Linked DNA regions of Macaca mulatta. The main gene of each other region encodes a partner of the protein of the gene in region 2 in a complex. Links are inferred from orthologs where the notes say so. Each region holds a gene or a part of one and is shown on either strand. Other genes may lie near its edges. The genes, in order: DOK7 and MUSK.

Evidence for each region.
Region 1: the proteins of MUSK (region 2) and DOK7 are in contact, whole or in part, in a crystal structure (PDB 3ML4), measured with the Mus musculus proteins. The link is inferred for Macaca mulatta from reciprocal best matches to the Homo sapiens genes MUSK and DOK7. Residues at the interface, in NP_035074.2 of Mus musculus: Leu547, His548, Pro549, Asn550, Pro551, Met552, Tyr553, Gln554, Arg555; in NP_001335203.1 of Mus musculus: Leu154, Ser155, Asp156, Leu157, Arg158, Arg159, Tyr160, Gly161, Gly172, Thr173, Arg174, Ser193, Asp197, Val200, Arg201.

The regions. Positions count from the first base shown.
Region 1 is NC_133410.1:3,680,070-3,683,880, reverse strand, and holds part of DOK7 (protein Dok-7), read right to left. Parts: intron 717-3,811; coding exon 597-716; intron 1-596. UniProt on the Homo sapiens protein: Probable muscle-intrinsic activator of MUSK that plays an essential role in neuromuscular synaptogenesis. Acts in aneural activation of MUSK and subsequent acetylcholine receptor (AchR) clustering in myotubes. Induces autophosphorylation of MUSK.
Region 2 is NC_133420.1:47,621,061-47,624,871, forward strand, and holds part of MUSK (muscle, skeletal receptor tyrosine-protein kinase), read right to left. Parts: intron 1,356-3,811; coding exon 1,092-1,355; intron 1-1,091.

The DNA.
Region 1 (3,811 bases), on a different chromosome or scaffold from region 2:
AAGGAAGGAAGGAGCAGGAGGAAGAAGGAAGGAGCAGGAGGAGAAGGAAGGAATGAATGGGGGAAGGAAGGAATGAATGGGGGGAAGGAAGGATGAATGGGGGGAAGGAAGGATGAATGTGGGGGAAGGAAGGATGAATGTGGGGGAAGGAAGGATGAATGTGGGGGAAGGAAGGATGAATGTGGGGGAAGGAAGGATGAATGTGGGGGAAGGAAGGATGAATGTGGGGGAAGGAAGGATGAATGTGGGGGAAGGAAGGATGAATGTGGGGGAAGGAAGGATGAATGTGGGGGAAGGAAGGATGAATGTAGGGGAAGGAAGGATGAATGTGGGGGAAGGAAGGATGAATGTGGGGGAAGGAAGGATGAATGTGGGGGAAGGAAGGATGAATGTGGGGGAAGGAAGGATGAATGTGGGGGAAGGAAGGATGAATAAGTGGGTTGGGGGGAAGGAAGGAATGAATGAGCAGGAGAGAGAAGGAATGCATGAATGAGCAGAGGGAGCCAGCAGCCCCCACACATGCATGGAAGCCTCCTGAGCTCTCCCACTGGAGACTTAGCTGAAGTCCCACAGCCCAGGCCAGCCCCTGGCCCCACCTCCACTGCCCGGCCGGCCTGCATGCGAGAGGAGGCTCAGCCGCTTCTCCAGCTGCAGGGTTTCCAAGGCTTCCTGGGCCACGCGCTCCTCCACAGTCGAGGGTCCCGGGGGGCTTGGGTCTGCAGCAGAGAGAAGATTCAGTGGAGGAAGTGGCCCCCACCGCCCACCCTTGCCCGCAGGCACCAGGCCCAGCCTGACGCGGTGGTGGCCCCCTCCGTGGAGTGGCAATCCCCTGGGAGTCCCCGCTTCTCCCCATGCCTCAGCCCAGATGCTGGGCCTCAAATGCTGCACCCACACCACCCCTATCCAGGCCACCATCCGCCCTGCTGGGTCCCTGCACCCATGGATGGCCCTGCCACCTGTCCACTCACCAGGACCCCAGGCCAGACCCCTCTTCCTCGCCACGGAGGTTTTCAATTTTTTGTTCCAAAAATGGCCAGCCCCTCCCCCATCCCCAGGGCCAGTCTCACTGCAAGAGGGGCTGCCTGCCCCTGATTCACAGTGCCCATTTCTCACAGGCTCCTCTCTGCCTGGGGAAATGCCCGCCCACCTTGTGGCGGTCCCATTCCCTGGGGCCTTGGATGGAGCCTCATACTGTGCCAGAGGCTCAGAGCACAGTGGTCTGCGGACCCTCGGCCCCACCCAGCCCCTCCCTCAGGGCTGCATCCAGGGAGCAGCAGCCCCACCCTCTCTGGTCATCGTCCCTGTGTCCTCTGGGTCCTCTGGGACTGAGTGGCAGGAAACCTCCCTTCTCACTGGCCCCTCGGCACCGCTGTCCCGAGCCTCAGCATCACCGCCCTGGTCCCCAAGCCCCCCGCCCGTGCTGGGATGTCCCAGGCACTAAGTGATGTGGGCACTAGGCTGAGTGGCTGCCGTGCTCCAAACAGCAGGGCTCAAGACCCCGCCCCTTCCACATCCATGGCACCCACGGCCACAGCCGTCCCAAAGAGTTTCCCTGGCAGGGAAGCCACAGCTACAAGCACAAGAGCAAACCGACCCCGTCCTGCTCCAGGTGGCCTCCTCTGGGCCTCCAGGACACACCTCCTGCCACCCACCTTGGGGGCACCTGCAGGACTGAGCCGAAACAGGTCCAAGGACCTGCTCTCCCCAAAATCCAGGAGCAGTGGCAGCATGGAAAGTTTACACCAAATTCTGCAGCACGCAGAGGACTGGAAGGTACAGTCCCCAGCCTGGGACACCTGGATCAGAGCCTCGGTGGACAGAACCGAGCCTGGCGGAGGTTGCAGCCGGACATCCTGACCCCGTAGTCAGGGTTCCGGAGAAACAAACAGAAAGCAATGGTGTCCCTGTCCGGGTTCACATCTAGGCTGAAGAGGCCCCATCCCTGATAAGACACTGTCCTCTGCTGACACCTTCAGGCGCCCAGCTGGGGCCCTTGAGCACAACAGGAGGCCCCATCAGGACCTCAGAACAGGGCTCTCCCCACGGGCAGGCGAGAGCTCACAGCACCCGGCCCAGGAACGCAAGAAGGACCTGGAGGAGCCTCCCCCAGCCTCCGGGTATGGCCGCCCCAAGGCACTGCCCGGGTCAGCCTGGGGCCCTGCCAGCCCATGACCCTGTGGCCCCATCTGTAGCATTGCCAGGGACAGGGATGGGGCCAGTACAAGCCTCTCTCCTGTCCCCTCCCTACCTGTGCCTGGGAGGGTGGAAGGCAATGGCAGCCAAGGCTGTGCCAGCTCAGGCCCCAGTCCCTCCCAACACAGGCTGCTGGTGGCCATGGAGCCCACAGGCCACTCGGCTTGGCAGCTCCTGGCGCTTTCACCGACACATTCTGCCACGTGGGCAGGACAGCAGGCGCCAGTCTTGGCTCCTTGGTGTGCTGAGGGTCCAGGCTGAAGACAAGCACAGTGACAGGACAGCACCGCTGTCCCTCAGCCCTCGGGCGTTCCGACCAGGGCCCCCCACAAAGCCAGTGCCCTGCAGTTGGGATGAAGAGCGGCCCTCGGTGACACCAGGGTCAGGACACAGGACACAACCTCCCACCGTTTCCCATCCAGTAGCTGGTGGGCAAGACACAGATCGACTCCCAGCTCCACCATGCACCCCCTGAGCCTCTCAACCTCGTCTGCAAAAGGGTGCAGCAACGGTGCACCCCCGTGGAGGCCGGGCCAAGAAGGTAACATGCACGCCGTGCTCGGAGCGTGGCGGACACCGGGCCTCTGAGCCCTTCCCTCCTGCTGCTGGCTGGTCTGGCTGCCTCTGGGCCTTGGTGTCCACGTGCAGAAGACCAAGGGGCTGGACCTCCTGCATCTCTCGGCCCCTCCGGTGGGTCACAGCAGACTCAGCACAGGAGGATGGCAAAAAGCCCAGAGCAGGCCGGGCGCGGTGGCTCAAGCCTGTAATCCCAGCACTTTGGGAGGCCGAGACGGGCGGATCATGAGGTCAGGAGATCGAGACCATCCTGGCTAATATGGTGAAACCCCGTCTCTACTAAAAATACAAAAAACTAGCCGGGCGAGGTGGTGGGCGCCTGTAGTCCCAGCTACTCGGGAGGCTGAGGCAGGAGAATGGCGTAAACCCAGGAGGCGGAGCTTGCAGTGAGCTGAGATCCCGCCACTGCACTCCAGCCTGGGTGACAAAGCGAGACTCCGTCTCAAACAAAAAAAAAAAAAAAAAAAAAAAAAAGCCCAGAGCATGAGGATGCTGCCCGCAGGGCTTTGTCGTGGGAGCCCTGTGATCACAGGGCGCCAGTGTTTTGCCAGCCTGGGCAGACGACCCCACCAGCCCAGACCTTCCCATGACTCCAGCCTGCAGGGGCTGGGCCCACGGCTCCTCCGGCGGGGTGCTGCCCAGCATAGTGTCCCAGCTCCACCAGCACCTCCAGGTGGTCTGAGGCCCCCACACACCTGCAGAGGCACAGCTGGGAGGCACAGCTGCAGGCCGAGGCCCTGACAGCAGAGCTTTCTGAGAGCTCCCAGCTGACTCTGACAAGGACATCCTGTGGAGTGGGGTCTGGGACTTCTGGTCAGCCCAACTCCCTCCAGCTGTCAGCAATGACCCTGCCTGGGGCTGGCCCGCTTGCTGCCGCGGTGGGGCCTATCCTTTCTAGCGGCTGTCCCAGGCCGACCCTCCCCAGCATCCTCTACCCAGTGCTGCTTCCCTGGCACGGCCTCTGTTCCCTGGGAACCGCCTGAGGGGAGCAGGAGAGAGCGGGGAGCAGGAGAGAGCGGGGAGCAGGAGAGAGCGGGGAGCA
Region 2 (3,811 bases):
CTTCAACAGAAAATTTCAGAATAACAATGTCTATCTAGTTTCTGACATACTCCATGAGTGTGATTTATCCTTTAATCCTCTCAATTCTAGTGTGCAGATGAGGAAACTGAAGTTCAGCCAAGACCACACACATCGAGAAAGCAGAACTAACAGTATTTGAACTTTGTTCTATTTGGCTCAAAAATTAGATTGATTCTTTTTTTTTTTCCTACATAAGGAGTATTTAAAGGTGAAGATAATTCTATTGAACATAAGTTTATCAATTTCAATATTTAAAAAGTATGAGAATTTTAAAAAATATCTATTTACAGTATAATTCCCTCCTACCCCACCCAAACGAGGCAACAGCATTAGAACTTAGAATTTTGGATGGAATGTACTTTAAAATAACATTCTGAAATGCTTGGCATGATCTCATTTATTGACAAAATGTACAGTTTTTATTTTCTCTATCTTGGCTTACTAATGAGGTCCATGTTAGTTTAAGATTTCTCCTTTCATTTGATAGAAATCTGGGATATTTATGGATACCATAATAATGTGAGCAATAACAAGAGTAATGGAATATGACACCATTTATGACATTTTCTAGAGGTTCTAAGTACTTGTATTTTAGGTTATCTTCAGTGATTTACATGATAGACATTTTGTCTGATTAATTACCTCCTATTTGTTTCTTTGTTTGAGATGGAGTCTCAACACTCAGGCTGGAGTGCAGTGGTGCAATCTCGGCTCACTGCAACCTCCGCCTCGCCGGTTCAAGTGATTCTCTTGCCTCAGCCTCCCGACTAGCTGGGATTACAAGTGTGCCACCACACCTGGGTAATTTTTGTATTTTTAGTACAAACGGGGTTTCACCATGTTGGCCAGGCTGGTATTGAACTCCTGACCTCAAGTGATCCACCCACCTTTGCCTCCCAAAGTGCTGGGATTACAGGCATGAGGCACTGTGCCCAGCCACTACCTCCTATTTTGGATGAAAACCGCTTTTTTCCTTTTACTGTTGCACATTACAACATTTTTCAAAAACTCTTTCTGTTGTGCAGATAGAAAAATGGAATTTTTCCTTTGAATTATTTTTGAGATTTTACCTGCAAATGGGAATAGGAGTCGGCACTACTCCAGGACTGCACTCCTGGAAGACGTGGTTACACAACAAAGCCTCAGCAGCTGGCCTGCAGAGTGGGCTCACTACTTTCAGTTCATTCCAGGCCGTGTGGACCAGCAGCTCTTGGGCCTCCTCAGGGTCCGCATAGGAGGTGTTGAGAAAAACAAGAGCGTCTTTTGCCAGGACTGCATTACACACCTCCCCTCTATACTGGGCGCAGTAGCCTTTGTTATCTTTCTGTGGTTTACTGAAAGAAGAAATGAACAACATTTCTAATCACATGCTATTTCTTGGCATTCATTCTGCTTTTCTTTCTTTCTTTTTTTTTTTTTTTTTGTTTGTTTGTTTTCACATCTGTGTCACAGAAATAGGAGAAAATTGTACTAGCAAATTGGTTGACATGTTCCATTTGAATATGGTCTTCATTTCCAGCTGCAATTATATCATCTGTAGCTACTCCACAGGGCTATTGAGAAGGCCAAATGTGATGATGGATGTGGAAAGCTTTGGGAACTATAAAGGACTGAATAGATTTGGGTATTTTTATTATTCTACATTATAAATAGAATCTGACTACTCTTAGTTAAGCCACCTTACAGACTGCTTGCAAAGAAGCTGATATAAGCAAAGATGCATCTGGAAGACATTTCATCATGATGGTTAACAAATAATTGAGCGTAATAATAACTGCTCTCAGCTAAAATATTTGCAGCTTTAGGGACATAGTTTATTTATGTGTTATGATAGTTTACCTTAGTTTTTTACAACATATACATCTTTGCAACACCTTCCATACTCAGATTCTCTCGCTCACACTTCTTCCCAGAATTCCATTAAAGAAAAAGAAAGTGATGTAGGGAGGAGAAAGCAGAAATATGGCTTCCAGAGGAGCCAAGTAGAACCTTCAGCTTTGCTGTTTTCTCATCACATCTCATCACATGGAAAGTCAACTGGTCACCCAGTGCCTCAATGATCTATTCTGTTGAGTGATACAAGTAATTACTCTGAACTCAGATTATTGTGTGTTAATGGGCCATATATCAGGGAGAAACCTGTAAATGCTAGTGCTAGCACAAACATAGGATTAAAAACTTATCTGCTATAATAACTGAAGACAATTGGGAGAATGGAAAATGCTGCTGGTACTCTCTTCACGTATCTACTTGTTCCCTTAATGTAATGCTGGGAATTATAACAACTCATATACTCACCTGACAAACATATGTGGAATACTTATTATGTGTAGGCACTGTGATGGTCTCAGTATTTTCTTATGTCTTCTATCAGATCTTCCATAGTGTTAGTAATGACAGAAAAGTCTTAAGTTGTATTCTTATTTAGATTTGTACAGCTATTGAATTTAGCTTTTCATTGTCTTTATATGAAGAATTTAAAGTAAGAAAATTAAACAAATTAGAATTTGTGTCAAATTTTAAAATTGTTACATGACCCCAGTTGAATTTAAAAAATTAATACTATAATTACAAACCATCACTGGCAGGTCTTTAAAGCAAATTCATTAGAATGAGATCTACTACATTCAGGTGAAACAATGAACTTCCAAGAAACACAGCTATGCTTTAAAACAATATTTTGTAATATAGAGTCTTCCTTTAATTCATACTAGCCTTTTACTAATTAGGCAGCATGATTTTTACTGTATCCCTTTGTTTGTTGGGGATATTTAAAATGAAGGCCTTGAATAAGAAAGCACAAAACTCCATGAAAACTTTCTCAAGGTAAAGGTGAGAAAACCCCCAGAGAAAATTAGACAGAAACAAGGATGCTGTTGTTCAGGCTCAATAAATGACACCCCAAAGTGAAGGCCTAAGAAGCAGCCTCAGAAACAGATCTTCCGCCCTCCTGTCTCTCCTCTCTTTCTTCCCCGAGGCAAATCTTAGACACTAGAATCCCTCTTTTCCAAGACAGATCATAGACATCAGAATGCCTTTTCCTCAAGGCTAGCCATAACACCTAAATATTTACTCTACCCACCCCCCCCCGCTTTTCTGTATAACACCTGACCATAAAGAAATTCAGACCTTCATTCCAGAGGTGCGAGTGCTGCACAGGGGGGCTGAGAAAAATCGGAACAGGCAGGATGGGCTAGCTTCCCCACTCAGCCTGTTAGCATTAGATCACATTGTGTCTAATCATATTTCTACACAGTTGTTCATACTTCATCGAACCTAAGCATAAAAATGGATTGCTTCGGCTGGGTATGGTGGCTCACGCCTGTAATCTCAGCATTTTGGGAGGCTGAGATGGGCAGATCACTTGAGGTCAGGAGTTTGAGACCAGCCTGGCCAACATGGAGAAACCCAGTCTCTACTAAAAGTATAAAAATTAGCCGGGCATGGTGGCAGGCACTTGTAATCCCAACTACTCAGGGGGCTGAGGCAGCAGAATCACTTGAATCCGGGAGGCGGAGGTTGCAGTGAGCTCAGACTGCACCACTGCACTCCAGCCTGGGTGACAGAGGAAGACCCTTGTCTTAAAAAAAAAAAAAAAAAAAAAAAAAAAGGATTGCTTTCCCTGTATCTAGGGTCTTCATTCTCAAGGGTCCCAAGTTATATAAAACTGTGATCAAATAAATTTCTTATCCTCTTCTCTTGTTAACCTGTCATTATTATACAGGTGTCAGCCATGACTCTTAGGATGGGAAGGAAAGGAATTAATCCCCATCCAGCTTCTACACTGTGC